4 linked regions of the Elephas maximus indicus genome follow. The protein of the gene in region 1 interacts with the protein of each later gene in a pairwise test. Links are inferred from orthologs where the notes say so. Each region holds a gene or a part of one and is shown in the gene's direction. Other genes may lie near its edges. The genes, in order: PIAS4, SMAD1, SATB1 and SMAD7.

What was found.
Region 2: the proteins of PIAS4 (region 1) and SMAD1 interact in a two-hybrid assay, tested with the Homo sapiens proteins (2 studies listed by BioGRID and IntAct). The link is inferred for Elephas maximus indicus from reciprocal best matches to the Homo sapiens genes PIAS4 and SMAD1.
Region 3: the proteins of PIAS4 (region 1) and SATB1 interact in a two-hybrid assay, tested with the Homo sapiens proteins (2 studies listed by BioGRID and IntAct). The link is inferred for Elephas maximus indicus from reciprocal best matches to the Homo sapiens genes PIAS4 and SATB1.
Region 4: the proteins of PIAS4 (region 1) and SMAD7 interact in a two-hybrid assay, tested with the Homo sapiens proteins (2 studies listed by BioGRID and IntAct). The link is inferred for Elephas maximus indicus from reciprocal best matches to the Homo sapiens genes PIAS4 and SMAD7.

The regions. Positions count from the first base shown.
Region 1 is NC_064821.1:7,060,329-7,067,738, forward strand, and holds the start of PIAS4 (E3 SUMO-protein ligase PIAS4), read left to right. Parts: upstream 1-4,035; 5' UTR 4,036-4,147; coding exon 4,148-4,174; intron 4,175-7,410.
Region 2 is NC_064831.1:39,417,978-39,425,426, reverse strand, and holds the start of SMAD1 (mothers against decapentaplegic homolog 1), read left to right. Parts: upstream 1-4,221; 5' UTR 4,222-4,238; intron 4,239-4,439; exon of another isoform or gene 4,440-4,528; intron 4,529-5,496; exon of another isoform or gene 5,497-5,585; intron 5,586-7,449. UniProt on the Homo sapiens protein: Transcriptional modulator that plays a role in various cellular processes, including embryonic development, cell differentiation, and tissue homeostasis.
Region 3 is NC_064845.1:21,472,046-21,480,357, forward strand, and holds the start of SATB1 (DNA-binding protein SATB1), read left to right. Parts: upstream 1-5,101; 5' UTR 5,102-5,322; intron 5,323-5,331; exon of another isoform or gene 5,332-5,601; 5' UTR 5,602-5,690; intron 5,691-8,312. UniProt on the Homo sapiens protein: Crucial silencing factor contributing to the initiation of X inactivation mediated by Xist RNA that occurs during embryogenesis and in lymphoma.
Region 4 is NC_064829.1:57,559,911-57,568,426, reverse strand, and holds the start of SMAD7 (mothers against decapentaplegic homolog 7), read left to right. Parts: upstream 1-5,210; 5' UTR 5,211-6,410; coding exon 6,411-7,023; intron 7,024-8,291; coding exon 8,292-8,345; intron 8,346-8,516. UniProt on the Homo sapiens protein: Antagonist of signaling by TGF-beta (transforming growth factor) type 1 receptor superfamily members; has been shown to inhibit TGF-beta (Transforming growth factor) and activin signaling by associating with their receptors thus preventing SMAD2 access.

The DNA.
Region 1 (7,410 bases):
GGTGGCTTAGATCAGGGCTGTCTCCAACATCTTTAGGGAATCCCCATTTTTGTCTCTTTGAGCCAGAAAATGTGATCTGTGATGGGAACTCTACCAGGCAGTTCTACTCTGTCCTATAGGGTCGCTATGAGTCAGAATCGACTCAACGGCAGTGGGTTGGGTGGCTTAGATCAGGGCTGTCTCCAACATCTTTAGGGAATCCCCATTTTTGTCTCTTTGAGCCAGAAAATGTGATCTGTGATCAAGATTATATGGTGATATAGAAGTTCTTGGGTTAATGCTTTCCACTGCTAACCAAAAGGTTAGAGGTTCGAGTCCACCCAGAGGTACCTCAGAAATAAGGCCTGGCAATCTACTTCTGAAAAACCAGCCACTTAAAACCCTGTGGAGTGCAATTCCACTCTGACACACATGGGGGCGCCACGAGGCAGCGTCTACTCCATGGCAACCGATGTCCTGGGATGGAGACGTAGGAACATATACATTGTGTTTACATTGTTATCTAGTTTACTTGTTACCTGTACTTATTGTGTATTTACATTGTTACCTATTTTAAGGCGCTTTAACACTAAACCTACGAATTTCACAGGTATACTTGGCCTAGACCTGATTCAGTTTACTTCAGTGCAAAAAAGGAAGTCAAGTTTCTACAGCTATGTTGCTAGTCGGCCTCTAAGAGATTCCAACTCTTGGCAAGCCCGAGTGTGCAGAGTAGAACTACTCTACAGGGTTTTCAAGACTGTAACTTTTTGGAAGCAGATCCCCAGGCCTTTCTTCTGAGGCACCTCTGAACAGCTTGAAGCACCAGCCTTTTGGCTACTAGTCACATGCGTAACCATTGTACCACCCAGGGACTCCTTCTATACCTATTAAAAAAACAAACCAGCTACCGTCGAGTGGATTCCAATTCCTGGCAAACCCATGTGAGTTAGAGTAGAACCATGCTCCGTAAAGTTTCCAATGGCTGGTTTTTTGGTAGTAGCTTGCCAGGCCTTTCTTCCAAGGTGCCTCTGGGTGAGTTCCAAGAGGTAACCTTTAGGTTAGCAGCTGAGCGGTTAACCATTTGACCACCCAGGGACTCCTCTGTACTTACACCTATATGTATATCACCTAACAGTTCAGGTGATTTGTGATCTTGGCTAAATTGGGAAGGATATGACTAGACTTGATGAATTCTGATTTAAAGCTGGCTGTATAATGGTCTTGTGGGGATTTAACATTTCCTCTCTATTTTTTCTGTCCTTAGTTGCTGTCAAGCCCACTCTGACTCATGGTGACCCAATGTGTGTCAGGGTAAAACTGCTTCCTAGGTGGTATGGATTGTCCCTCTAAAATATGGAAACCTTGGTGGTGTAGCGGTTAAGTGCTATGGCTGCTAACCAAAAGGTTGGCAGTTTGAATCTGCCAGGAGCTCCTTGGAAACTCCACGGGGCAGTTCTACTCTGTCCTATAGGGTCCCTATGAGTCAAAATCAACTCCAGTAGTAGGTTTTGATTTTTTGGAAGCCTTCAATCATGATTCCATTTGGGAATGGTCGTTTTTGTTATATTAATGAGGCAGGATTAGCATAGGGTGTACCTTGAGTCAATCTCTTTTAAGATATGTTGTTGGTAGGTGCTCTGAGTTCCATTCCAACTCATAGTGGCCCTCCTTACAACAGAATGAAATATTGCCCAGTCCTGGACTATCCTCGCTATTGTTGCTATGCTTGAGCCCATCCTTGCAGCCACTCGTCAATCTATCTCATTGAGGGTCTTCCTCTCTTTCATTGACCCTCTACTTTACCAAGCATGATGTCCTTCTCCAGGGACTGGTCCCTCCTGATAACATGTCCTAAGTACGTGAGATGTAGCCTCGCCATCCTCTCTTCTAAGAAACATTCTGGCTGTAACTTCCAAGACAGATTTGTTCCTTCTTCTGGTAGTTCATGGTATATCCAATGTTCTTTGCTAACACCATAATTCAAAGGCATCAATTCTTCTGTCTTCCTTATTTATTGTCCAGCTTTCATATGCATATGAGGTGATTGAAAATACCATGGCTTGGGTCAGGCACACCTTAGTCCTCAAAGAGATGCCTTTACTTTTTAACACTCTAAAGAGGTCTTTTGCAGCAGATTTGCCCAAGGCCAATACGTATGTCCTTTGATTTTGGGGTGCTAGCTCTCGTGGGTGTGGTGTGTGTGTGTGTGTGTGTGTGTTTAGCTCTCGTTAGGAAACCCTGGTGGCATAGCGGTTAAGAGCTATGGTTGCTAACCAAGAGGTCGGCAGTTTGAATCCACCAGGCGCTCCTTGGAAACTCTATGGGGCAGTTCTACTCTGTTCTATAGGGCTGGTATGAGTAGAAATCAAGTCAAAGGCAACTTTTTTTTTTTTTTTTTTTAAGCTTTCATTAATTGCAATTTGAATTTGTAGGGCAGGACTTTTGCCTGTTTTGTTCACTGCTGTGAACCTCAGGCCAAATCCAGAGTGGATTCTGTCTTTACTTAAAATATTGATATTTTATTTATCATGGAATTTTTCTGCATTTATTTCGATTTTTAAAATTTTTGCATTAACATATTTACCTTGATCACAGGATTGTTTGGTGCCTCCTTAATTTTTCATAAAATTTAACTTTGTTTTTGGTGAAAATATACACAGCAAAACATGCTCCCATTTAATGGTTTCTGTTTGTCACATATTGTTCAGTGACATTGGTAACATTCTTCATATTGTGTCAATATTCTTGTAATTTCTGCTCTAGTTATTTCACCCCCATTAATTTAGGACATAATGCTTGATAAAATAGAGGGTGAGCGAAAAAAAAACCCTCAAGGAGGTGGACTGACACAGTGGCTGGAACAGTGGGCAATGACTGTGAGGATGGCAGTGTTCCATTGTTATATACATGGGGCCGGTATGAGTCGGAAGTGAACCTATGGCACCTAACAATTTAGACTCACTGCCCACTAAGCTCTTCTATGCTTTAGAGTTACTGTTGTCGCTTTGGTCTCATATAGTGTTGTTTTTTTTTATCTCAATAGTTAAGGATGGTATTCTTTTTAAGCTAAACTTTTTTTTTGTTTGTTTGTATAAAGATGACCTCAGGAGATGGTTTTGGTTCAATGTTTGAAGAGTATCTCAAAGCAACAGTATCCGGGGGTTTCTCCAGTCTCAATGGGTCCAGGAAGTCTGGATTCTTTGGGAATTTGAAGTTCCAGTCCACCTTTTCCCCCTTGCTATCAGGATGCATCTAATGTGTCCCAGATAGAAACGTTTGGTAACAGTAGCTGGGCACGGTGCAGTTCTGGTCTCATGTTAGAGGAAGTAGTGGTTCATGGCGCCTCCTTAAATTTTGCGCCTGAGAATTAGCATCTCAGGGGATAGGTCTTGAAATAGAATACATTTATGTCCTCTTTCTTCCCGCTTTGGACACAGGAAAGAATGAGATCCGCTGACTATGGGCACTGGGGAGCCAAGGACAGCGTTTGAGCTCGGGAGGTTCAGGTCAGTGCAGAGCCGGAATTCCGAAGGGGTGGGTGGGGGAGACAAAACGTGGGGGGAGGCGCCTGCAGAAGGACGCGGGCTGCACGAGGGGCGGCGTGTGTGGGCGGGGGTCCAGCGTTTCTCAGGCTGGCCGGGCTGGGGGGCTGCAGAGCCCGCCCCCCGGCCAAGGACCCGGATGTGCGGCGCTTGGGGCGCCAGGTCTGCACCGCGCTGAGTGCACTGGCGTCCGCTTCAGTGGAGCGACCGTCCCCTCCCCCCACGCCGCCAGGCGTCCGGGCACCTACCTGGCGGGCGCCCGGCGCAGGGAGCCGCGGCACCTGGCTGCACTGTTGTCTGCGCCGCCCCACGCTCCCTCCCTCCCCAGATGGGCCCAACCTTCCGCCCCCACCTGCGCTGGACTCTGTCCCTTTAAGAAGCGAGACCCTGCCGCGGGTGGGCGTGGTCACCGCGGGCGAAGGAGGGGCGGCTTTGGGCCGCCCTGATTGGCTCGAGGCCCGGGCGCGGCCGCGCGCGCAAGCGCAGCGCGCAGGAGCGCGAGCCGCGGGGGAGGAAGCCGCGCGGGCGCTTATTGGCCCCGGCGGCGGCCCCGCCCGCGAGTGGCGGGCGGTCACGTGACGCGACGGCTGGGGGTCCCGGCGCTGGGGACGCTGGTGGCCAAGATGGCGGCGGAGCTGGTGGAGGCCAAAGTGAGTGAGCGGCGGCGGCGCCGGCCCGGGCGGGCGGGCGAGGGGGCGGGGCGCGGCCGGGCGGCGAGCCGGGGCCTGCGCCTTCCGCCCGGGGCCCTACAGCGCGGCCCGACGCCCGGGGTCCCCGCGTCGGCCCCGGTCCGGGTCCGGGGCTCGGGGTGCGGGCGGGGGCGGGGAGGCTGGGGGCGGGGTCCCAACACCTCACCCCCATCATGCCGCCCGGAATCGGGGATCCCCCAACCCGCTGCGAGGTGCCGCGATCCGGGGCTCCGTAAATACAGGAATAGGGCCGCTCCTCCCAGCTTGAGGCAGGGTCCACCCCGGACAGCGTGATGGCTTGGGGTTCTCGTCCCCTCCTCGTCCCAGCGGGGTCCGTGCTCTTGGGCCGGGAGGAGTGTCTGCGTCTCCCTTGCGCCCCCTCCCCATGCCATAGAGGGCTAGGATCTGGGGTTTATCCCTCGCGCAGTGAACCAGCTTAGAAGGGTCCCCTGACTGCAGCCGTGTGCTGCCACCGCCACCAGCCCAGGCTGCGGGACCAGGGTCCTAGATCACCACTAATACTGAGTCCGCTGGCGGGCTGTGCCCCAGGCTTGGTTTCGGGGGCCCCGCTGGGGCTCCTGCCTGAGTCCCGGAGCCCCGCCCCCTGGGGCTGAGCCATTCCCTGTTGTGGGTCAGAGGTCTCAAATCCTTCATCAGCCTCACGCCGTGGGTACTGCTTTCTCCTTCTTATTCCCCTCAGGACAGCATCGGGAGTGACTGACCCCGTTTCTAGGGGTTCTAAACCCCACGCTCATGCCATCAGATGCCACTTCCAAATCTTGGGTGTTTTTCCTGTGCTCTGTAGTAGCAGCAAACTTCTTGGCCTAGGATATCTTCCACCTCACCCAGCCCCAGGACTGGTCCTTTAAGTGGTTCCGATGTGGCTTGAGTCCCTCTTTTTTCCATATATTGGTCCTTGGAAGGTCCCCAGCTGGTTCCAGGAGAGGTAGGTCCCTGGGCTTCTTCCCGACACCCTGGATCAAGGATCCAGGCTCTGCACCCTCGGAGATGGTGGTCCCCTCTAGCAGCTTGGGGTCCCTTCTGACCATCCTGGGATAAAGCTGAGAGCATCCCTACCCAGGAATCTGCTTTCTTCCAGATCCTCCCAGAGGCGAGTTCCCAAAATGTTTGCCTTGATTCAGAAGTGACATAGGATAGAGGAGCCCAGAACTTCTCTTAGGACCTCATCACAGCCCTGCCCCGCCCCTCCTGGGGTGCCCTCCCCAAGGCTCCAACCTGCAAATGCATGCTTTTTTCTGCCCCTCCCTCTCTGCTTCTGCCTCCGTTTCTGCTGGGATCTGAACACAGCTCTCCTGGTTCTGGGATCATAGTGTGTATCTCCCCCCCAGACCCCCGCAGTCCACAGTCCCCACACCCCACATGCTTCTGCACTTCCGGGGCGATGGAGAAATCGCCACTTTGCCCTGGAGATGTGACAGCAATCACCCCACTTAAAGTCCCCCCAGAGCCCTGAAATCTAAAACTTCTCATGGGGCCATGGAGCTGTGACCCCAGACCCCTCCACAGCCAGAGGGTAGGGGCTGTCCTTTCTTATACTGTCCTGGACCTTGAAATGTGATCTCATGAACTCTGCTTGACCCATTGGCGGCTGGGGCCCCCTAACCCCAATTAAATCAAGTTGACCCTTCTTTCAAGTCCTGTAAAACGTGAGCCTCCCTTTGGGGAACTTGGCTCCAGCAAAGCTTCCCTGATCCTGGGCACCTTCTCTATCCTTTAGTCTTTTGTCGTGGTCCGGTCCCCGCGCCGCCCCCCCCCCCCCCCCGCCAGCTTAGAGTGCCTTAGATGCAGTGGAAATGCCCTCTGTTTTTCTTTATCTCTGGGACTCCCGAGAGGCTGCTCCCCTCTCTCCCCAGACCCTCCTATTTTCGAGCTGGATATTTGCTTTTGGGTGCAAAATAGAAGTGGGGTTTGTCTATAAACTTTGAAATCTGAGACTCTTCACTTGAAAACCACGAGGTGGGTTTGGGGCGGGGGTGGGGGCCATAGCAGCCTTCCACCATCTCCTGCATCTGCGTCTTGCCTTTTTCTGGAGCACAGGCCCACCACCTTTCTCTGATCTTCAGAGGAGCGCACGGCGGAGACAGGGTTCAGCACGGCTACTGGAGCTGGTGTCTCCACGCGGCATCCAAACACGTCCACTGTGTTCTGGAAGCTGTTCGTAGAAACAGTTCTGAGAGGCAGAGGGTTCTGAGAGGCGGGTGGGCCAGGATGAAGCCGCAGCAGGAAGTGCTCTCTGCGGCCTGTGAGGTTCTTTCTGAGCATCCATCCCCCCCGCCCTGCACCCCCATCAGCAACAAGGACAGGCTGCTCAGTGGTGGCAGCTGCTGGGGAATTTGAGGCATGAGCCTATGGAAGCCTGAGGGGTGTGCTGTCAGCTGCCTGTGCCGCCCTGTTCCTGCCTGGCCTGGGCGAAGGGTGCCTGGGGGCTCTCAGGGGTGGACTGATGCCGCTCATCGGTGTGGTCACGCTCACACACTGCTTATGGCTTAGTAGTGGGTGTCAAGTTGCCGCATGGTATCACCTCTCCCCTTTCAGGCCTTGGGGGTCTTCCAGAAGAAACATCTGCGTGTCTTTTTTTTCACTGAAGTTAGGAAGCTTCTGGACTCATTGAGGGCCAGCAGGCTGCTCAGGTCCCTGGGCAGGGGGTGTCCTGGTGAGGAGGGATCTCACAACACCCAGGCAGGTGGGCAAAAGCGGAAGGAAGATGGCCTCAGGAGCCAAAGGCTGCTGGCTCTGCCACTTATAAGCAGGGTGGCCTTGGGCCAGCCACTTCCCCTCTTTGAGCCTCAGTTTCCTTACTTGTGTAGCAGGTGAAGTTGTTACGGGATTTGCAATGTTAAAAGCTCCTACCTGGTGCCTGGCACATGTGAGGCACCGTACGTCTGCAGTGGCAGGAGTAGAGGGATGTGGGGAAGCCCCCATCTGATTTTTGTAGTCAGCACTGGGTTGCTTTGCTGTCTTGTCCCTGTCATTGGAGACCGGAGGTGCCTCCATCTGCAGCCAGACTCTAGCATGTAGAGCCAGAGTACTCCTGGCGCGTTTCCAGCCCATGCTCACAATGAGGGGCCCAGCTCAGAGAGGCCTGACTGGCCCCGGGCTGTCTGGCAGTTCGGGCAGGGTTGGAACTTGAACCCAGGGCTCCTGATTCCCAGGACCACTGTGAAACTCCATACTGA
Region 2 (7,449 bases), on another chromosome or scaffold:
TTCAGCAGAGAACATGGAACAAGGGAGGTCATTGCTGATGTCAGATGGATCTTGGCTGAAAGCAGAGAATACCATAAAGACATTTACCTGTATTTTATTGACTATGCAAAGGCATTCCACTGTGTAGAACATGACAAATTATGGATAACGTTGCAAAGAATGGGAATTCCAGAGCACTTAGTTGTGCTCATATGAAACCTGTACATAGACCAAGAGGCAGTTGTTTAAACAGAACAAGGGGATACTGCACAGTTTAAAGTCAGGAAAGGTGTTGTATCCTTTTGCTGTACTTATTCAATCTGTATGCCGAGCAAATAATCTGAGAAGCTGCTAAAGAAGACTATGGCATCAGGATATGCAGTAGGACTCATTAACAACCTGTGTTATGCAGATAACACAGCATAGCTTGCTGCAAGTAAAGTGGACTTGAAGCACTTACTGACGAAAACCACAGCCTTCAGTATGGATTACACCTCAACATAAAGAAAACAAAAATCTTCACAGCTGGACCAATAAGCAACACCATAATAAACAGAGAAAAGATTGAGGTTGCCAAGGATTTCATTTTACTTGGATCTACAATCAACACCCATGGAAGCAGCAGGCAAGAATTCAAACGATGTATTGCATTAGGCAAATCTGCTATAAAACACCTCTTTAAAGTGTTAAAAAAGCGAAGATGTCACTTTGAGGACTAAGCTTAGCCTGACCCAAGCCATGGTATTTTCAATCGCCTCGTGTGCATTTGAAACCTGGACAATGAATAAGAGACTACAGAATTGATGCCTTTGAATTGCGGTGTTGGGGAAGAATATTGAATATGCCATGGACTACCAGACGAACAAACAAATCTGTCTTGGGAGGTGTACAGCCACGATGTTCCTTAGAAAGAGGGACGGCAAGAATTTGCCTCACGTTTTTTGGACATGTTGTTAGGAGGGGCTAGTCTCTGGAGAAGGACGTCATGCTTAGTAAAGTAAAAAGTCAGTGAAACAGAGGAAGACTCTTGATAAGATGGATTGACACAGTGGCTGCAACAATGGGCTCAAACACAGCAACAGTTGGAAGGATGGTACAGAAGAGTGTTTCCTTCTGTTGTACATAGGGTAGCTATGAGTTGGAACCAACTCCATGGCACCTAACAACAAAAGCAACAAGTGAAACATCCATAGACAAGCAGGAAAAGAGGATATAAAATATGTGTGTGAGGGGTCGGGAGGGTTGCTGGAGTGGCCAGGGCAAGCATCACTGAAATGGGGGCAGTTGAGTAAAATCTTGAGGTGAGGGAGTGAGCCAAGTGGCTGACTCTGGTAAGCACTTTCCAGGGAAGGAACAGCTAGTGCAGAGGTATTGAGGCGAGGGTGTGCGAGGGTCGTTCCAGGGCTAGTGAGGAGGACAGACATACTTGAGGAACTCATCAGGAGTAGGACACAGGTCAGAGAGGTAAATAGGGGTGGGGATTGAAGATCATGGAGGGTCTTGCGCACATTGTGAGAACTTCTACATTGAATGAAAGAGGAGCTGAGAGACAGAAAGAGAAAGACAGAGAGAGGTTGTTTGTTTTTCGATACAATGATGTTTAACAGACAGTCCATATTCAGGTATTCACTGTTGTTCCAATAATGTCCTTTCCAAACATGTACCTGAATGTTTACTACCACTTGAAGAAATAACTTTCACAATGTGCCAAATCAAATTCCATAGTATTTGTAGTATTAATAGCTATTATTTGGGATTACTAGTGGTGCACTGAGAAAGGCCGTCCACAGGTTAGAAAAAACATGAACAGCTTTATAATATGATTTTATCGCTCTTCCCCTCAATCCAACATACAAGCGAGCACCATATGCTGCATTTAGTTAAGTGTTTTTTAACAGTTTTATTGAGATATAATTCACGCATTTAAAGTATACAATTCACTGGCTTCGAATATAGTAACAAAGTTGTGCAAACATCACCACAAACTAATTTGAGGACATTTTCGTTACCCCCCCAAAAGAAACCCTATACCCTTTAGCCAGCATTCCTCCAAACTCACCTTTCTCTCAGCCTTCCAACACAACAACCAACCCACTACCATCCAGTCGATTCCCACTCACAGCGATACAGGACGCAGTAGAACTGCCCCATGGAGTATCCAAGGAGTGCCTAGTGGATTCAAACTGCTGATCTTTTGGTTAGCAGCCATAGTTTTTTACCACTATGCCACCAGGGTATTTCCCCCCTGCCTTAGGCAACCATGCATCTACTTTCTGTCTCTACGGATTTGCCTGTTTGGAACATTTCATATAAATGGAATCTGGAATCATACAATATGTGTCTTTTGTGACTGGCTGCTATTACTTAGTGTAATGTTTTCAAGTCTCACCAAGTTGTAGCATGTGTCAGTACTTCACTTCTTTTATGAATGAATAATATTCCATTGTATGGATACGGAGCTCTGGTGGCACAGTGGCTGCTAGCCAAAAGGTAGTCAGTTCGAATCTATCAGTGGATGCTTGGAAACCCTACGGGCAGTTCTACTCTGTCCTATAGGGTCGCTGTAAGTTGGTATCAGCACCATGGCAATGGGTTTGATTTATCAAGGATTTTTATCACATTTTGTTTATTGAGGAAGGATTTTGAGCAGAGGAATGACCTGATTGGACTGGCATTTAACTAGGCTTACTCTGGCTGTAAGTAGCCCTGGTGGTGCAGTGGTTTCAGTGCTTGGCTGCTAACTGAAAGCACACGTGGGTTTGAACCCACCAGCCACTCCTTGGTAAAAAGATGTGGCAGTCTTCCATGAAGATTTACAGCCTTGGAAAGCCTATGGGGCAGTTCTGCTCTGTCCCACAGTGTCGCTAATAGTCGGAACAGACTCCAAGGCAGTGAGTTTGGTTGGTTTTGACTCTGGCTGTTGTTCTAAGGAGCAGAGAGTGATCAAGTGTGTCAAATGCTGCTGGTAGGGAAAAGAAGATGAAGCCCAAGAATTGACCAGTAAGTGCTCAAATAGTTTAACAAAGAAAGCAATTAAGTTAGCAAAAGTATTCTGCTATTTAATTTATAAAGGGTATTTTATGAGTTTTATGGAATTTGTTGCATTTCCCTTGAAAAATTAAAATGGAATGAAAAATAATAATTATTAAGAAGAATTTAAAATGGTATGCCAGATTTCATAAGGGCATATGAACCATTGCAGAGTATCACTTATTTATGTAAGTCTTTGGTATTTTCTTTACTGTAAAAAATGGTGTAGGAATTCTTTTGGTTCATGTGAAGCTTATTCCTCAGAATAATTATTTTCCTCTATGCTAACTCAACAATATGGTAATTATCCAAGATTTTATGCCAGCTTCTAGAAGGTTGGCCAAGAGAAAAACTGACTCTTAAGAAAAGATACTTTCAATGTCTATGCAGGTCAGGTGGGTTGTGCAGATCAGGTAGATGAGAGCTAGTTTTTCTTTGCGGGGCGGGGGGGAGTTGTGTGTTCTAAAAGATAGTAGAAATTGGACCAAACAGACTTCTAAACTCCTTTCAGGCATCTGTTATTATTTGGAGCCAAGAAGGTGAACTATTCAAATTATTGGACCCCAAATTGGCACAAAACACATCTTTTGATTTAGGGTTGGTATGAGCGGAATCGAGGGCACTGGGTGGGTTACGAGTACATGGCCGGAGAAAGATGTGGCAGTCCGCTTCCCTGAAGATTACAGCCTTGGAAACCTATGGGGCAGTTCTGCTCTGTCCTACCGAGTCGCTGGTGAGTCGGAATCAACTACATGGTAAGTTTGGTTTTGGGTTGTGAGCGCATGCAATAGTTACTCGGTCATCCAAGTTTAGATACCCGCAAATTCTGAGGCCTGCAAATCATTCGGGAATGAGGGGCTATGAAAACTTGACCTAAGAAGAGGTCTCGGGAGATAATTGCCAAAAATACACTCCACGTTTACAGTGTGGTTCGGTGGGTGCGGTGGATGTGTTAATGAGTATTTCAGAAAATAAACACGCAGAACACTGAACTTCGCTAGCAGAGAATGCACTAAGACCTCAGCAGCTGGATTAAAAGAGGTAGGTTCAGGAAAGCCAGCACGCAGCGTTCTTTTTCCTTCTTGGGGCGTGGGGCTGGGGGCGGTCGCTCGGGCCGCTTCCCCGCGCTGTCCGCGGGCCCCGGCGCCGCTGCGCTCGGGCCGGCCCAGCCGGGAATTTGGAGAGGATCCCTGGTCGCGCGGCGGAGGCGGCGGCGCGCGAGTGCGCGTGTGAGCGAGCGAGCGGGCGGGCGGGCGAGTGCGCCGGGTATTGGCAGCGGTGCAGTGGAGGCTGGGCGGCTCCGACTCCCTGACGCCAGCGCGACCAGATCAATCCAGGCTCCGGGAGCAAGCGGGCGGGAGGAGGAAGGAGAAGCCGAGCGCCTTAGCCCGGGCAGAGGAACAGGGAGGCACCCTGCGAGCGGAGCGCGGCGCAGCGCCCGGCCGGCCGGACCCGGGCGGCGGGACCCCGCTCGCCCGGCCATTCGTGCGCCCGCACGGACGGGCGCGCCGCCAACCCGGTAAAACGAAACAGAACCGAACCCAGCTTGCCTTGCTGCCGTCTCCCCTCCGCGCCCGAGGTTTCCCAGAGCCGCCGCTTGAGCCGGCGCGGACGGCACGGGCTAGCGGGCGGGCCGGGGTGGTGCGGGGTCGGCGGCGCGACTGCCGAGGGGAGGGGGTTCTGCGCCGCGTGGGGCGAGCCGGGAAGCGGCCCCCTCCCCCACGAGGGCGCCTCCCCGCCGCTCGCAGGAGAGAACCTGCCACCTCGGCCGCCGCCTCCCTTCGCGCCCAGCCGGCCGGGCAGGGCTCCGCCGGGGTTCCCCTCGCGTCTTTGTTGGGTCTGCGCCGGAGAAGCCGCATTCCTTGGCCTTGGAGCCTCGCCCCCGGCCCTGCCCGCGGCGGGACCTCTCCGGCCGCCCTCCCCCTCCGCCTGTTCCCGGTTTCTCTTTCCCGGTCTGCAGCCGGGCCGCGTCCGTGTGCGCGGCCCGCGGACCCATTGTGTCCCGCGCCGGCAGGGCAACCCTTGCGGGAGTTGGAGAACCGGCGCCGGCGCTGCCGTTTACGGGCTCGGGGAGCGGGGCTCGCGGGAGGACGACACGGGTGCCCTGGCCCCTCCGCATCGCAAAGGGTTGCCTTGTCTGTCCCAACGAGCGCGCCTTTGGGGTCGAGGTCAAGGAAAGTTCGCACCGAAATTCTAATTTATTCAAAGGTTTGGCGGCGCGTAATTTTTTTTTTTTTTCGTCTTCCGCCTACGCCGCCTGCGTCTTCAAGTGTCGTCTCATTCCTTTCCCTTTACTGGATTCGATTGCCTCACTGCATGTGTATTTGTGAGTTCGCTGTGGAACAACTGTTCTTTTCCCTGCTCCCTGCCTTTGTTAGGTGTTCTCGGGGTTGTTTGTATTGGAAGATGGGGATGGTGGGTGTGAGAGAGACAGATGTGGGCTTGTTTTTCTAGTTGCTGAGTATATATGAAGGCTTCCAGGGAGAGCGTTTCCTTGATGTGCTTAGGAAGGGAAGAGGAACAAATGCCTGGCGAATCTTACAACTCCAGTAGCTGCGGCTCCTGTTTCTTTGGAGGTACATGCAGTTTTTAAATACACTGCGCAAGATAATCAGGAAGGCGCTTTCCTTCTGAAAACTGAGGCCCGTCTCAGAACCATCTCCTGAGGAAAGCAGCGTTTTCGTGAGTGCTGTGACAACTGGCCTTTTTCTTTTCACTCGTGTTTTTTTTTTCTTAATTGCCATTGTATCTCAAGTTTCTGAATATGTGGAATGATACAGAAGTTGCATGATTGCTGTGTGTCTTCTGTGGCTGAAACGCTTTGCACCTAAATCACAGAATGCCTTTATTTCAAAACATCTCTCGCTCAGATCGTCTCTCGTGGATAACATGCCCACACTTCAGTAACACAGTGAGAAAACTGTTCTCTGCCTGTGTTGATTTTTCGCCTTGTTTATAATTACCACTCTAAATTTTATCGGAGGTAGGTGAGCCGTATTGGAGGAACCACTACTTAAAAAGAACTGAGGCAGAACGGCTGTTCACCGCCCCAGAATTGGCATACATATTTTTGCACCAGTGTTGTATGATTCTGATGTAGATGCAAGGCCTGACTGTGCTGTTCTCATGAAAGTGTTTATCCTCCCTCTGTCTTTCCCATTTGCAGTTATTTGATATTTCTGTGAGGTGGTATACCATTTGTGTAATACTGCAGTTCTTAGGAAACGGTAAACGGGGTCGTTCGAGATGGTTTTCTGGAGATGGGTGATGTTGGAGCCTCTAGAGGATCCAGGCGGGATCAGGTTTCTTCTAAGGGTGGGGATTTGTCCTTGATTTAGTTTTGACCCTTCCAACCATAGGTATGTAACCAAATACGTTTTTTCTTCTGCAGTATCTTTTATACTCTTGAAAACCTGATGACCTTTGCATTCTAGAGAAATGACAGTTTTTAAGGAATTAACAGTGTCAGCCTCTTGCACCTTTTAGAATTGAAGTAAAAAAAAAATTTTTTTTTCTACTAAGTTCAGATGAAGCATTAAAAGGAAGTAAGGCACATTTTCCTAAATATATTTATGAGTTCCGAACTAAATTTCAGTTTGTAATTGCAATTTCTAGTAATTCTGGGTCACGGATAAAATTAATAATTTGGTAGACTGGGAAAAGAATAAACTTGATTCTAATTAGACGAGTGTATTTGAGCTGCAGTAGCCTACTTAATCAAGGCCAAGTTGTGTGTATAAAAGGTCTCATTTGTGTAGTCTTACAAGGCTAATGGAGGCATCACTGAAGCTTTATAAATAATGTAAGTTGTGTATAATGTAGAGTCTCAAGAGACGGCAGAGAAAGCATCATTACCAGCCTTTTCAACCTGCTTGAGATCTTAAATTGATTTACAGCACTGAACTGGTGCAAAATGATACATCAGGATGACTTGGGGTCAGCCTGTAAAAGTCTATGATGTCAGCCTATTAGTTCAGTCATCATAATTAAACCATATTACGGGGGCAGCTAAGCAGGAGTCTGGCGTTATCCTTCAGATATGGGTGGTGCATGAGTTTTGTTTATAGTGCAAAAGACTAAATGGCCAAGAACCCTAGTGTGTCTGAAGGAGGGGGAGGCTTATGGAACTCTGAATTTCTGAAAAAATTGAAAGTAAATGCAGAGATGTTCAGTCAGCATAGTATAAGTAGCTTTCTGTTTGGTAGTGGAGAAATAGATGCTTTGAGGGTACTGGTAAGGCAGGACCGCAGCAGCTCTGATCCGTGTACTGAATCATGCTTCATGTGAGCTGGAATTTAACTTGGCCTCGGGGACTTTCTAAAATACCAGCAGAACCCATATCTCTTATCTTATTAGCATGGGTTCTCACTGTATCGATGTATCAGCTGACATGTTATTTCTTTGACTAGTCATAATTACTAGGACTCCACTGAAACCAAA
Region 3 (8,312 bases), on another chromosome or scaffold:
TTGAAATTGACAAGGAGTTTGCTTACATAAAGGCCAACCCCACAAAGAATCAGGGGGGATCTCACTCCCATCAAGAAGAGCCTGGAGCAGGGCTCCTTTGGACCCAAGGTCCCTGCACTGAGAACCTCCCAGACCTAGGAGACAGAGAGAGTTGTAACACTGAAGACAGTGTGAGATGGCAAGAAATGGTGGTAACCACAGCAGAGGCCAGGACCAAAGAAACGGTGGCAGCAGTACCAGCAGTGAGAATCACGGGACTGGCAGATGGCTGCAGTGGTGCCTGTCAGCCCACAGAGTGAAGGTGCTGTGGTGGACTTGCCAGCCCACAGAACAAGAGAGAGCTGAGTGCCTTTAGGCAGGAGGCGTGCTTGCAGAGTGGGGTGACTCTGAGCATTTGCTGGCAGGGATAAAGAACTATTAACACTTGCTCGAGCAGGGCAGAGGCCTAGAGAGGGCCTGTAGGATGGTGTGGCTGAGAGAAGGACTATTAACTGGCATGGCCAGAGAAGGGCCTGCCTGTGGGCATGGCCAAGAAGGAGCTGAGAACTGTCCTGGTTGGAAGCTGTCCTGATTGACGAACTATATCCTGTCTCCTGAGTTGTATCCTGTTACTTCTAAACTGATCCTGATCCTGAGTCATAGCCTGTTACTTCCCTGATAAACCGCCTCATTTTGAGTATGGTCTGTGAGTTGTGTGTGGCCACTGCAATGAATTATCAAACCCAGCAAAGAATTAGAGAGTGCTGGGTGGGGAGATTGGCTGGTGTCAGAAATGGTGAAAATGTCTGACCTCTGCCTCATGGGAATCAGCTTTGGTCTGATCCTGATTCTCCTGAATGTAGACAGCCTCAGATGCTGCTAGATCACAAGGCCACTAAAAACTGGAATTGTTTGTTTTTCCAGTATAAGATAGCTTGTCCTGACTGATACAACAGATTTGCTCTGCTTTGCTGTAAATGGCAGAACTAAAGCTAATGGTTAGAAGTTTCAGGAAGACCAAAAAAAAAAAAAAAAAACCAAAACCAAACCCAGTGCCGTCGAGTCGATTCTGACTTATAGCGACCCTATAGGACAGAGTAGAACTGCCCCATAGAGCTTCCAAGGAGCACCTGGCGGATTTGAACTGCCAACCCTTTGGTTAGCAGCCGTAGCACTTAACCACTACGCCACCAGGGCCTCCTCAGGAAGACCAATTCTGTGTAATACAAGGAAAGAAAATCTAATAAAGCATAAAAAGATGGAACTACTTCAGAAATTATTCATTCATCCACACAATATATATGGAACTCTACTCTGTGCCAAGAGCTCTGTAGGTAAAACCCTTACCCTCATGGAGGCAAGTGGTGCGTTCCCAGTCACTCAGGACCAGGACGTGTGCACTGGATGGCCCCTCAGGGTTCGACAGCAAAACCAGCCTTTAAAATACCTCCCAACCTGGAGATTCCAGGAACTCTACCTCCTCTGTTTTAAAAACAAAAAAATAAAATCAATTTTCTCAAGTATTACTTTGATTCAAACTATTTACTGATTCACTGGGCTGTCTTTTTGACATTTTAATGTCATTTTCCCAGCAAATAAGTTCCTTGAGGGCCAATACTGTTTTGTTCCTCCTTGCATCTTTCTCATACTATATAGTAGGTTATATTTTGTCTGTTCTCAGAGGAAAACAACCAGTGTAGATTCTGACATCCCCACTGCCAATGAGTCAATTCCGACTCATAGTGACTCTAAAGGCCAGAAAAGAACAGCTCCATAGGATTTCCAAGGCTCTACGTCTTCAGGGAAACAGACTGCCACATCTTTCTCCCACGGAGTGGCTGGTGGGTTCGAACTTCTGAACTTTTGGTTAGCAGTGGAGTACTTTTACTATTGCGTCACTAGTGCTCCCTCTTTTGATATTGTTGCTGTCAAGTCAATTCTGACTCACAGCGACCCTGTAGGACAGAGTAGAACCACTGCTTAGGGTTTCCAAGGAGCAACTGGGGGATTCAAACCACCAACCTTTTGGTTAGCAGTCTGAGCTCTTAACTACTTGGCCACCAGGGCTACCTTTTGACGTTCACTACTGTTATTAACCACGTGACAGGTTTCAGATTTATTTGCCCTTCAATTATTTAAGTTAGATCTGAACTTGTTAAAAAAAAAAAAATTTAGAAGCACAAATGTCATACCCTAGTAACTTTCACACTGAATGCTCTTTTCTTCAGAAGGAAGGCTTAGCCCTGTACTAGTGAATTTGAGCTGAATTACATTATTTCATTACCCTCTTAATTCAGCAAGTATGTAATGAATTCCTACTACATGCCAGGGGTAAGGCACATACATTGTAAGAGTTTATCAAGATATATTATTTAATGTACTGTGGTCAGCATTACAAAATTCCATCTTATACTAAGCCTATGAACTCTCCGTACTAAGCTCTTTAGAAGAAAATAAAAGCAAGTTCAAAAGGTTTGGGGCAAAATGTTCCCTTGGTTCAACTCCTGGGTACATCTTGTACCTTAACTTATGTGGGCTCAGCTGATAACTTGGGGAAGTAGATGAATATATCAGTGTGTAAGAGACAAAAAAAAAAAAAACCCTTTTTTTTTTGTATTTCAGTATCTTTTAAGTTTCATTTCTGGCTTTTGGAATTGGAGAATCAGTTGTCTGTGACAAAAAAATTGCTAATAAGCAGTAATTAAGGACTGAGAATTTATTATTTCCATACCCAAACTGATGTCATTCTCAAATGGGAATATTGGTACTGGTTAGACAATTCAGCATTCTGGTAAATTAAGGCAGAAGGACTTGGTGACTCCTGGGATGTGTGAAGGCAGATAGTGGTCCAGGGAGGAAAATATGTGTTTTACTTCGCTTTGTCCATTGCAACATTCATACCCTTCTGCTTTACAGAAGTAGGAGTTGAGGTTGCCAATCATATCTTACAAAAGAGGGGGGCCAGTTGTCTAAAGAAACACACTCTAATTCATAAAACTTTTTATGTTTTTATGTCTTTGGAATTGTCTCTGCATAAAAAGATAATCAGCTGAAAAAGACAGATGAATTCCAGTGAATTCAATACCCATTGACAGAAAAGAACTGGCATATCAGAAAGCAGCAGGAATACATGCGCTGCTCTCCTTTATTTAGAAAAACCACACAAAAATACAACACAGTGGATGTGTGTGTTACCCAGGCTTGAAAGTTGAATCAACCGCTGTGTAAAAGATAAAATAAGACTGCACAGATATCAGGATTTTCCCAGCGTGCTTTATGACAGAAGAGGACCTAACAGAGCTTTTAGGAAAAACTGAATTCTCAGCCCACAGTCACTTTCCAGGAACTTCACTGCAAACAGTGCTCTGCGCTGGCAGGATGGAGATTTTAGCACTCTCCCTCCTGCTTCCCTAGATTCCTTCTCTCTAAATACAATTATTTATGGGGACTTAACAAGGGAGCAAGCCTTGTGTGAAAGGAACTCAAGAAAGTGCAGCTTCTAAAAATACATGGAGGCAGCTCCACAGTCCTTATTGTTTTGCAGTTCATGCCATGAACCTCACAACTGCACTTCTTGCCCCACACACACACACACACACACACGCACAAAGAGAAGGCTATGTTTTTTCTTTCCACAATCCTCCTAACCATGAGTAAACAGTAGTAATTTTCTGTTGTCATACTCAAGGCAAATTTCCCAAAGACAACACAAAACAAAAACAAAAGACCTGTTAAGCTTCCTTAGAGCTGGGGGGTGGAATGACAGGAAAGAAGGGGGTAAAGTTGATGGAGGTCCAGTTTCTTGTTAGCCAGGAGTCCTGAGCCTACAGTCACCCCAGATCTTGCAGAGAAGGTTTTTGAGGTTTCAGTCCCCATTTGCTAAGGTGTCCTTGCCCCTCTCCTCTCCCGAGTCCCCTGTCTATGACATCCTCTTTGCCCCTGCTTTTTGAGGGAAATTGAACCTCAGCTTAGGCGTCCCTTTCCAGTGGGTTGAAAAGAAGTACAGCGGCTGATGGAAGGATGAATATTGAAATAAATAGGCTGGGGCATGGCGTAGGGGTTTACAAAACACCCCTCTCCTCCATTCATCACGTGTTCCTCAGCTGGGGTGCAGTGCTACGGGTAAAGGGCCCGGGAGGGGCGAGAGTGGGGTGAAGGGACTCGGACATAGCAAGACTGTAAGGGAACGAGGCCCTCTAGGAAAGATCGTCTCGATCGAACACTGACGAGAGAAATAAATTGGCCCACATGTCCCTACTGGGGAGCGATACACCCCGCTCCGGATGGGTTTGGGGGTGCATCAAGGCCTCTCACCTGACTTCCTCCTCCGCTGGCACACACACTACAGTCACCCCCTCACTCCCCTCCAAAAAGCTCAAGCCAACAACGAACAACAAGAGGAAGCCGCAGGCGGCAGGAGGAGGGGTGCGAGCGGTGGGGGCCTGGAGAGGTGAGGGGGGCAGGGTTGGCGGGCCTGGAGACCCGCGCCGCGCACTCCCAAGCACACCCCCAAGCGCCCACACTTACCCCTCGTGGCCGAGGGTCCGGTCTTCGGCGCCAACCCCGCCGCGCGCCCCCTCGCCCGCCCTCGCCCCTCCAGCCCGCCGCCCCCCACACCCCGGCCGGCGCGCGGGGAGAGAGCCCAAGAGCGGCACACGGCTGCAGCGGCTCGGGCTCGGCTCGGCTCGGGCTCCAGCGCAGCCAGTGTGGCCGGCGGCCGCCGAGGCTCCACCGCCAGGGGGAGAAGCCGGGGCGGGCGCTGGGGAGGCGGGCCGGGCCCTCGCCGCCCCGCCGGCCAGCCCGCGCCGCACACGCTCCGAGGCGGCGGCGGAGGCGGCGGCGGCGGCGCGGGGTCCGCCGAGCCTCCGGGCGCAGCGTGCCGGGGCCGAGGCGCCGCGGCTGGATGCGCGCCCCGGGTGGCTGCGGGCTCCCGCGGGGGGCGCCCCGGCCGCTCCGGTGCGCTCCAGACTGCGGGCGCGGCGACCGCCGAGCGGAGAGCAGCTCCCGCCGGCCCCTTCCCCCTCCCGCCCCCGCCGCCGCCCCCTCCCCCTCCCGCGTTAACATCTCCTCCCTCCCCCTGCTCTTCCTTCCCTCGGCCCCGCGCGCTCGCTCGCTCGCTCCTCGCTTCTCTCTCCCCTTTAAACGCCCACTTCGGATGGGGAAAGAAGACAACTTGAAGTCAAGTTGCAATTAACTTCCGCGGCAGCCGCAGCTCCAGCGGCGGCGGCAGAAGGCAGAAGCCGCCGCCTCGGAAGTCCGACGCCGGCGCGCCCGCCCAGGGAGCCGTTCTGGGTCTCGGGCCCGCACTCGACAGCCACCGCCGTCCCCAACGCCCATGCCTGAGTGAGTTCTGCTCCTTTGCCTCCTTTCTCCCCCGCCCTCCTTCTTTTTTGCTCTTTCTCTTGCTCTTTTATCTCCCACTGTCTCTCTTTTTCGGAATCAATCCAAACTTCTCGGTGGCACCCACCCATGGTGCCCCTTGCTGGGGCGACTCGGCTCCCCTCTTGTGGGCGCCAGGCGGCAGGGGTCTTTCGCGCAGTCAGATCCCAAAGTGGTGGGCCAGTGGAGTGAGGGCGAGCCACCGGGATGGGGGACTTGAAGATACCATTCGTTCTCTCTTAGGGTGTGGACACACTAACACACCTGCCCGACAGACCCGGGCTGCACAAGCCCCTCCAGGACCTCGGTATGGCCTCTTTTGAAAGAGAAAAGTGAGTCGAAAAGACTGCAGGAAGTAAATGGGGAGAAAGGGGAGCCTCTCTGTGCGGCCCCCGGGCCCGGCAGGCAGAAAGGCGCGCGGCTGAGTGGGCTGGGGGAGTGGAAACGCTCCCCGGTCGGATCGCCGGTCGGCTCAGCATCCTTCCCCAGTCCATCTCCGCCTTCCTCCGCCCCCCATCGGCGTGGCTGCTCGAGTGCGGGGCGGAAAGGGGCCTGGGAAGTTTGTGGCAACTTCTCCATCCCGGGAGCCACTCCGGCACCGGGGCGCTCAAGTTTGAGCCGGGAGTTTGCAAGCCGCGGCACTGCGCCTTCGAGCCCTAGTCGGCTGTGGCGAGGTCGGTGCTGGAGGGACTGCCGGCAGGAATGTGGCTTCCAAGTGGGGCTGGAGGCAGGAAGGAGGTGCTTCCTCCTAGCGGGAGCTGGGGTACCTCAGGTACGGCCTCCGGGCCCGCACCGTGTCCCCCTCCTGCGGTCGGGGACCCAAGCGCGGCGGCCTTCTCCGAGCGCACCATTGCTGAAGTTCCCAGGGCGGCGGAGCGTGGGGGTTTGGAAGACTACCGTGGAAGGGACGAAACAGGCAGGTGGCAGGTCCGGGGAGTGACACGCGCGTCCCGGGGAAACGCATTCAGTAAGACACCTTGGGGATGACCCCAGGAAACTGAGAGGAGAAGGACGCAGGGCTCTTTCTCTTAGTTTTGGCTCCGGCCTCCCCCAGAGCGTTGCACATTTCACTTACAAGTGTCAACCCCAGGGTCGCCCTCAGAGTGCCCTGGTTGGCGACTTTGACCCCTGCGCCTTTCCTCCATGAACTTTCTCAGCGGCGTTCCAGACTTCCAGGCAAATGTGACTTGTACTCCATATGGTTGTGAAAGAGACAAGGGAATACCCAAAGATGCCCTATCCGGGAGAGAGTCTCTCTGCCTGGACTAATTGGGGTTCTGCGCCTGCATCCTGGGAGGCCAAGGGGACCTGACTTTCCCAAGAGGACAGAGAAAGGGGGTAAGAATGAGTAAAACACAGCCGCCCAGTGTCAGGTTTTGTCCTGAGCAGTCCCTGGAATTCACAATGTGTTTTGCTGCTGATGGAGTAACTCATCCCATTGAAACTTTATTGAAATTTACACCCTCGATAACGTGGATTTTTCTGAGATGTCAGGAATGTGGAATTCCTTCTGTACAGTCAAATGTAGCTGCACAAAACCAAAGCGTACTTTAAGACTGGAGAAAACCAAGGTTGAGGGGTTTGCTCTCAAAACCTTTAATCTGCTGTTTGGTGCTCGTGCAGCAGTCCTTTATTTCTATTGCATATTATTTTAGCAGAACGGTAGTACATTCATATACTGGCTGCTCCAGTCTGCTGGCAAACATTAGCATTCAAGCTTACATTTTTGACAAATGTGCAGACAGGAATAGCATGAATAGGCATCTTAAATATTAACAACCTAAGCATCTGTTGTGCAACAAATTTAATATATTTACTCTGTTTTTCTCACATTGTTAGAAAAGGTTATAATAAGTGCATAATTTCAACTTTAGTTAGCAGAAGTAACTGGCTGTATCTTTCACTACCTCTCCAAGTATTTAACACAATCACCAGACATAAATACTTTAATTAACTTGGTTAGGCATATTATTAAATACACTTTAGGCAGCGTGCATGCCACATAAAACAAAACACTGGCAAAATATGTGTCCTGTTTGTGCACATTTTAAACGGCTGTGCGTTTTATAAACATACCAAACATGTCTATTCCTCATCTCCATTTGACACTTTATTACTTCATATTTTTTCTAATGGAAACAGTATTTTAAATGTAGAGCTGTTCAGTCCTATGTAATACGTAATAAGTAAACAGTAGCTATAAAATACAAAGCATTGTTGAATTTGAATACGGCTAGATGTAACAAGATTATACAAGAGAAATAAAATCGCGGTTCAATTTTGTGTTCCTTTCTGAATAATGAATACAAATGGTGAATGAAAAGGAACAAATAGGGATTTCCTTCCTAAAGTACTGGTTCCTTAAAATGGAGTGGGTGGGGGGGGGGGGGGATAGAGAGAGAAGACCTAAAAAGACTTCCAAAAGTCTGAATAGTTATTTACAGAATCAATGCATTCCTCATTTTCCCACAAGCTGAAATATGTAATAAATAATAGTTCTTTGTATGTAAAAGTATTTAAAAGGAATGCCTTTTGTGCAGTTGTTTTAATAAATTAATATATTCTTTGGTTGATAAATCTACAAAAGTAGCTCTTTTGTCTCCCGGGATCTTAAACACGAGCAGCAACAAAATGAATATTGGTTTATTTCTTCTGCAAAGGAGTCTGTTGCCAGCTCTGTGAACCTGATTGGATAAGATATGAAAATGCTGAGTGATGGTTGAAGCCTGCATTAACTTAGCTAAGACTTAAAAGATCAGGAGAAGGTTTTCAATGATCTTTTTTTTCATGTGGCAGGTTGTGGATTGTAAATTAGGCCTAAAAGGTCAGGTGACAGGCACCTGTTCCCCATTATTGTAAAAATCTCTTGGTTACAAACACTATCAAGCTAAACACAACACGGATATACAGCAGGGACTCTGTAAAGCACTCTAGTGGTTTTTCATCTGCTCTGT
Region 4 (8,516 bases), on another chromosome or scaffold:
GAGAGAAGCTGTCTACAGGGGCATCACTCCCACGGGGACCTCGCCGACTTATCTTTTCCGACAAGGACATCAGAAGAGCAAATTTCAGGAAATGAGGAAAGCAAACAGGGGGTTTTAACCATTTAAAATTTATTTTTTGAATAAGTAACACATTTGCATGGCTCAAAAGTCAAAAGACAGAAAATTTACATACAGTGAAGTTTGCCTCCCAGCTCTGTTCTGCAGCCACTTAGTTCCCTTCCCTAGAGGAAACCACATGTCTCCCTCTAAACACACACACACACACACACACACACACACACACACACACACACATTATTATCAGGTGCTCTCAATTCCAACTCATGGTGACCCTATATGACAGAGCAGAACTGACCCCGCAGGGTTTCCTAGGCTGTAATCTTTACAGGAGCAGATCCCCAGGTCTTTTCTCCTGCAGAGTGGCGGGTCAGTTTAAATCTCCAACCTTTCATTTAGTAGCTGAGTGCTTAACCATTGCACCACCGGGATTCTCTCTCTTTTTTTTTTTTTTTAAGCTGTGGTAAATATATATGCAACAAATCGTTTGCCATCTCAACCTTATTTATGTGTACAATTCAGTGGCACTAATTATGTTTATCAAGTTTTTCAACCATTACCATTATCTGTTTTACGTGCCCATATATTTGAAGGTCTCAGGTCTTCTCCTTCTTTACTTCTTCTGGATGTTTCTCTTATCTCCTCTGTAACAAAGTGTATTTCATCCTGTCACCCCAGTCTCAACCCCCGGTACCTAGTTGGGTACACTGGACAGCCACCTAGCAGACGTTATGGCTCAGCTGACAGCATGTCTGCAATGCAAGAATATTTGATGAGTCAGGGCTTACAGCACCTTTATTTGACAGTGAATTAGATGCGCGTTCATTCACCTATGTTCTTGTTCTTCAACCATAACCCAAGAAGTGCTGCTTGTCATATCAGCCTCACTCCAGCTTTCTTCCTTTCATAAACCATGGCTTTCATTTGTATCATTGCCAGTTAGGGATGGCTTAGGGCTCACTCACACATTTTTCAGGGGACGATTGTGCAAGAAATGTCGATATTTTCCAACACTCTTTTGGCCTCTTCAATTGTTTCTTCTTTTGGTTACTGTGAGAACAAAATCCTCATCCCTGCCTCACCCCTGGCCTCACCCCCACCAACACGCACCCACATGCACTTTGGGGGCGTCTCTCTGCCCTTCACTTCCCTGAACCATTGACAACCAGGAAAGAACTGAAAGGAAGAATCCTATGCAGGAGTTTTTCAGCTTTGGCTTAGGGTTGTTGCTAGGTGTTGAGAATTCAGGAAATTCTCCTTTTTCTCCCTTCCCTTTCTTAAATCAGGCTTATTCTGACAGGCTTCCTCTTCCCCTGGCAGTTGTCGAGGGTCACCTGTTTCTTCATCTGCTTCTCGTGCACTTTGCTGCTTTCCATCCGCGTGCACTCTGGGGATTCCTGAATGCTCAGAGACCACAGGCCTTGGAGAAACTTCCTAGGGTTTCCTCTCTCCACTTAGCCAGTGTGTCAAGTGGCAGCACCTGCCCCCCCTCCCAGGTGCTGGGGGTGGGGTGGGTGGGCAGTGATTAAGTAGCTAGCCAGGTCTTTAGCTGACTCCATCCTTGTTTGTCATAACTCTGCCGCAAGTTATTTTGGTCTCTGTGACTTGTGGCTGCACCATGATTAGGGTTTGATTACTATCACCAAAGTGACTAAAAGATGAAAATAGAAGCCACAACAGGAAATAAACAACTGCAAATGAGATATTTTATTCCATATTCCCTGCCAGCAAATGATTAGAATCAAACTCATTCACAATAGTTTGGTGAACTCCTAAACTTTTTTTTTTTTTATTAAGAGGATCAGAATAGTCTTGAGAAGCTGTGCTTGTCGGTCATATTTGTACACGTGGAGGGAAAAAAGGAGCTCCCTTTCTAGGCACACCCGCCAGCCAGAAGTTCCCCTAGTGCCTGCTTCTTTCTTGGAAAGGAAAGGAGTAAGAATGGGATGGGGTGGGGCTGGCACGCAGGAAGGCTCCGGATGTTAACTGATTCAAGGGGTGCCAGGGAGCTATAAAGCAGCCCAGAACCAACAATTGTAGCTACTTGCCCCACATCCCACCCATTTTCTACCCAGCATAGTAAAATGGAGGAGGGAAGCTGCGTGGAGAAGGCAAGATAGGAATGACGCCTGAATTAAAACACCCACAATTACACTATATGGGAACATACCTCTGCAAGTACACGCATGTTCCACCCAGACAAGCTGTGACGTCAGATTCCACTCCAAAACTCCCGTTAAACCTACTTGCCCTGTGTGTGCTCTGGCCTCACATGGCGGAGAGATTTAGACGTCAATGGCCAGATTTCCAAAAGATTCTTAAGATCCTCTAGTTAGCCAAGAAACGTAGTTAGAAGGTATGATACTCGCTTTTTCTGTTTATGTACATCCTTCCTGCCATTTTGTGGCCCGGCCTAGCCTCTCTCAAAAAGTGAAGATCTGCTAGTGAGGCTCAGAGCTGAGAGACAGAATGGGACCCAAGAGGGCAGGCAACTTGCTCAGGAAGCTTCAAACCCTGCCAAGTGCTCGCCTAACATAAGGATCATTATTAGCGCAAGTTGCTTTACTAGTGAGGGGCTCTGCAGGAATCAGGTCTTCTGACTTCTAGTCTGGTACTGTACTCTTTCTAAGCCTTCCTGAGGTGAGTGTATTAGACATTTCCCAGGCACCTCGAAAATCTCATTTCTGTTTCTTCTGGTTGTATCTGCCTATGATGTTAGAATCACCCAGAACCAAATCTCCCCCTTCTCCATTTCCTCCTGGGCTTTCTTGGCTGCTGTCTTTGCAGACTGTTTCTTCAGAAAGTTGTACACACACAGTTTCAATAAGCAACATTTTTATCTACAACAAAATTCTGATCTTATACAGTTGCAGTCTAGGTGGCCTTACAAAGCAAATATTTAGAATGCCAGCTCCTACTGCCTCCTACATACACGTTTCTGCACCGCTTGGCATTCTGCTATCTTCTAGATTAATAAACTTCAGAGCTCCCTTGTCGGAGATGATCACGTAACCAATGTTGCTCATTTCTTCTCCCCTTTATGTCTCCAAAGGTGCTTTTTGGGGGGTGTGTGGGGAAAGTGGTCCAAATGCCTCTTGAAGTCCTATCCAGCTCTAAGTGTTGATTCCTAAATATTTAGTAAGCATCTACCGCCTGTCAGACATTGGAGGGGAGGGGCCCTTAGCTGTAGGGGTGTCCAAGATTCATCTGTGCCTTTTAAAACTGTATCATTTAGCGGCAGAGATCAAACAGTGCGTTTTAGCGTTTCTAAAGATTCTTTAAAACCCCGTAGGAGTTTCATGGGGCCCTGGTGGTGCAGTGATTTGAGAACTAGGGCGGCGTGCTACAGCGCTAACCAAAAGGTCTGCGGTTCAATCCACCAGCCGCTCCTCGGCAACCCTATAGCCTATGGAGTAGTTCTAGTCTGTCCTATAGGAGTCGCTATGAGTCGGAATCGACTCGGCGGCAAGGTTTTTTTTTTTTAACGAGTTTCATTGTTGTACTGATCTCACAATTGTAAATGAGTTTTTAAAATCGTATTTCACTGAATAAAATGTGAGATTAGAATCACCATGCCAGCTAATAGCCTTACCGCTACTGATGCGTATATATTTAAATCATTACGTCTTTAGTACCGCCGGTTTTCACGCTGCAAAAGCGCTCCTGTTCTTTCTCTACCAATGCTTTCCTTACCCATTTGCCTGTAATGACCTGCCAGGTGGGTTATACGCTGCTCCCCAACCTGGGGTCAGGGAGTGACTCTCTGACCCTAAGCACCTTGAAAGCTCCGAGGACGAGGAGGGGCCGAAGTAGGCCCCGTATGCATATGCACGCACCGGGCAGATTGTTCAGAGGGTAATCTCCCCGCGCCCGGAGGCTGGCGGCGGGCGGCGGAGGTCTTCCGGGCCCTGGAGGAAACCTGCCTGCGGCAGGCAGGCGAGCCCCCAGCTCCCTCCTTTCTCGCCGGGCTGCTGCCCCTCGCAGCGCATAAGCCGGCCAAATGCATTCCAGAGCTGTGCGCTAGACGCACTTCTGCAGGCAGTCCCAGAAACCAGAGCCCGGAGCGGGAGCGGCGGGCGGGAGCGCGCGGCCGCCGCTGAGGTCACATTCGCGCCGCCTCCCGCCCTCGGCGGCCTGGCTGTTCCCTCCAGCGCACACTCCCAGGGCCTGGGTCCAGTCCGGTGTAAATGTCTTTTCAACAGAGACAGCCTTCTCCTCCTCCCCCTCCCTCCCTCCGGCGGGGCCAAGGAGCCACCGTCAGGCCTTTAAACAAAACGAATGAATGGAGTGCCGGGACAGCGAGTGCGAGGCTCGGGGTCCGGGTCTAGGTCGGGCCGCCGACCGCCTAGCTCCGCTCCCAAACTCCCGGCGAAGCCCCCTCTGCTCCCAGCGGTTCCAGTCCTCCGCTCAGCCGGCTCACCGGCGATTCTGGGAGCCTCTGCGCCCCACGCCCTCCCCCACCCCCCCTTCAGACCCGGGAGGGGGTGGCAATGGTGGGGGGGGGGGTGAGAAATAGCTTTTAGAAACCCGATCTGTTGTTTGCGAAACACAATCGCTTTTTTTTTTTAAAGCGACAGGGTGTCTAGACGGCCACGTGACGAGGCCGGAGCCGGGCGCGCCACTGCGCAGTGGAACCAGCCGAGCAGAGGCCCGGAGGGGGGGCGGGGGGGCGGGGAGGAGGCGGTGGCGGCGGCGGCGCTGGGGGCGGGTAGGGAGGGGGAGGAAGGGGGCGGGGGCGGGAGGCCTTGCGGGAGGCGGCGAGCCCCGGGCACACTCGCTCGCTCGCTCGGCGCACGGAGGACCCTGTCCCTGAGCCGAGCAAGCCGAGGCAGCAGGGCGCCGCGCTTGGTGTGCTCGCCGCGCCGGGGAGAGCTGCCCGAGACGGAGCCAGCCCGCCGGCGCCAAGCCGCCGAGCGCCTGGCCGCGGAGCCCCGGAGTGCGGCACTTTGAACCCCAGGCGGCGGCAGCAGGACCCGAGAGCCAGGAGAGGGCGGACGGGGGACAAGGAGGCTCCGGGGAGCGACGAGGAGAGTCTCGGAGGAGGAGGCGGCGCGAGGACACCGGGGCCTCCTGCCGCCGCCGAGTCGGGGCGAGCAGCCCATGCGGGGAGGCTCGGTGGACAGCAGCGGCCAGGGGAGGGGGCGCCGGCGGTCCCCGCATTAGCGAGCAGCTTGCGCCCCGGGAGGGCGAGAGCGCGCCGACCCGCTGGGGGCCCGCCGCCGCGCCGCCCTCCCCCGCGCTGTCAGCTCCGCCAGGCGCAGCCGCCGCGGCCGCAGCATCTTCTCCCCTGCGCCTCCGCCAGCCCGAGGAAGTCCCGCCTAGGGCCCCCGGGAGCGCAGGAGGCAAGACCAGACTCCCCTCGAATACCCAGATGCGGAGGATTGGAGCCACCGAGCCAAAGCTTTCTGTGGATTAAAAAATACACGATTTTTTTTTTTTTTTTGGCAGAAGATAAGGAGAGGAAGACCAGCGGGGCTGTGCAAGGAAAGAAGGGGGGATGTAACTCGTGGATACGGTTTTCCACCCCTCAAACATCTTGTTCTACTTTGTAAACATTTTTTTTTTCTATCCCAGTTCCAGCCGGAGACCTCCGGGGTGCGAGGAGGTTGTGTTTTTCATTTTTGGTTTTGCATATTACATTCTTAGCTTTTGAGCGAGCCTTCTTATTTCATGCGGGGTGAAGTCCACTCGGCCCCTCCCCTGAGTCTTCGTGTGCACGGAATTCGAGGAGATCCGGTTACTAAGGATATAGAGGAAAAAAATAAATCCCGTGCCTGCTTTTTTTTTTTTAATTGCTTGCTTCTCCCCACCCCCAAATTAAGTTGCTTAGCAAGGGGGAAAGAGGCTTTCTCCTCCCTCCAACAGCCCGGCCGAACGCCTTTCGGTTTTTGCCCCCGCGGATCTTCTATGTAGAAAGCCGAGGCTGGCGAGCCCGACACTCGGGAGCCGCTGCGGGGGGGCCTCTATTTGGGGAGGCGCCGACGGGGGCAGGCTTGGTCGCCCCCAGGGAAGCGGCGGCAGCTTTCCTCCGGGGCGCGCCGGGGCCCGAGAGCCGCGCAGGGCGCGGGCCGCGCGGGGTGGGGCAGCCGGAGCGCAGGCCCCCGAGCTCCGGCGGGCGCCCCCGGGCCCCCGCGCGCGCCCCGGCCTCTGGGAGACTGGCGCATGCCACGGAGCGCCCCTCGGGCCGCCGCCGCTCCTGCCCGGGCCCCTGCTGCTGCTGCTGTCGCCTGCGCCTGCTGCCCCAACTCGGCGCCCGACTTCTTCATGGTGTGCGGAGGTCATGTTCGCTCCTTAGCCGGCAAACGACGTTTCTCCTCGCTTCCTCGCCCCGCATGTTCAGGACCAAACGATCTGCGCTCGTCCGGCGTCTCTGGAGGAGCCGTGCGCCCGGCGGCGAGGACGAGGAGGAGGGCGCGGGGGGAGGCGGCGGAGGAGGAGAGCCGAGGGGGGAAGGGGCGACGGACGCCCGGGCGCATGGGGCCGGCGGCGGCGGCGCGGGCAGGGCTGGCTGCTGCATGGGCAAGGCAGTCAGAGGTGCCAAAGGTCACCACCATCCCCATCCCCCAACCGCGGGCGCCGGCGCAGCCGGGGGCGCTGAGGCGGATTTGAAGGCGCTCACGCACTCGGTGCTGAAGAAACTGAAGGAGCGGCAGCTGGAGCTGCTGCTCCAGGCCGTGGAGTCCCGCGGCGGGACCCGCACCGCGTGCCTCCTGCTTCCCGGCCGCCTTGACTGCAGACTGGGCCCGGGGGCGCCCGCCGGCGCGCAGCCCGCGCAGCCGCCCTCGGCTTACTCGCTCCCCCTCCTGCTGTGCAAAGTGTTCAGGTGGCCGGATCTCAGGCATTCCTCGGAAGTCAAGAGGCTGTGTTGCTGTGAATCTTACGGGAAAATCAACCCTGAGCTGGTGTGCTGCAACCCCCATCACCTTAGCCGACTCTGCGAACTAGGTAAGAAGTTCTGCGACCACCCTCTTCAACCCCCGCGCTCAGATGGTTGAATAAAAGCCCCAGTGCGCTGTGTGTTTTTGCAGCCACCTCTCCAGGGGGAAGTGTGCATCCCCTTCTGGCAGGAGACTTGGGAAAAGGCAGAGAAGGGACAGGGACATTCCCTGGGGCTTCCCTTCCAGGTTCTTATCTGTTGCCCCGAGGGAGGCTGTGGCATTGTTCGTGCACACGCTGCACAGACCTGCGGGTAGAAATTAGGCACCCTCATTTCCGCATCAGTAAGGGGATGCAGAGAAAAGGTGGGGGAGGGGGGGTTCACCCCTATCCCGCACCCGGAAAGGCGTTGAGGTGTGTGGCCGAGTTGGCCTCGGTCCAAGCCCGCCAAGGAAGGCTGGGAGAAGCAAGGAGTTGTAAAGGCTGCAAAGTCTTTTCTCTCTTAGTAAACAAGGAGAGTCACGACGGGCACAAGTGGCCCCGATTCTGCCGTGGGCGCTCAGCTTTGGGGCTCGGGGTCAAAGACGGTTAGGATGGGAGGCCGAACTTGATAATCCCCCCCAACTCTGCCAGCACGGGAGTGAAACAAAAACAGTCAGGCGAAGTTGGGTCTCCCTACTTTTTCCAGAACAGAAAAGCATAGAATGCCTATTAACTTGGCCCCCAGCGCCTCGGTGTTGCTGCTGCCCCTTTCAGCGCTGGGGCCTGGGCTGCGCGGCTGAGACCCGGAGCCTCCGTCCCTTTATCCTCTCAGCCACCTCCACTCCTTCACGTCTGTGCCCGGGGTGGGCCATGGTACACCCTAGGTCATCAGAGCCCAGCGCCTCCAGACTCCCTCCCGCTCGAGTTCACTAGAATACTTTTGGGGCGCGCCTCCCGGGTGGGCTGGGCCAGGGGAGCCCGGCGGCGGGGGCGGAGGGAAATTGCGCCCGGGGGTGGGGGGGTGCTCGGAGGGTGCCTTGTCGCCCCCCGCCCTTGAACTGTGCAGTGCGATGCCCCGTTAAGCCGCGGCCAAGCCGGTGGTTTCCAGCCGGGCTGGCCGAACGCGGCGGCGACGGCCGCAGACGTGGAGGAGCGGAGCGCCGGGGCTGGCGCCAGGCGGCCTCTTTTGTTTATCTGACAGCTAAATATCAAGGCAATCACCGCCTCGCGGCCCTGCCTCCAACCCCCACAGCTAAGACAAACAGTTGGGCTCAAAGAATGCCTCTGTTATCGTAAGTTTCTATCTCTCTTTCTCATGGCGCGGCCTTTATTTTCTCTTACTTTTTAAATTCCAGAGTCTCCCCCTCCTCCTTACTCCAGATACCCGATGGATTTTCTCAAACCAACTGGTGAGTAGATGCTTTTAAAAATACCCTTCCTTTCTGAAGTTAGATTCGGAGCTTCTAGGACTCGGGTTTTCTTTCTAGGCAGTGGACGAGAGAGGGATGGGTTATGGCAAGCTGGTTATATAGGTTTCATCTTTTGGAAATTTGGTGGATTTTTCTCAGTTTTTGTTGTGA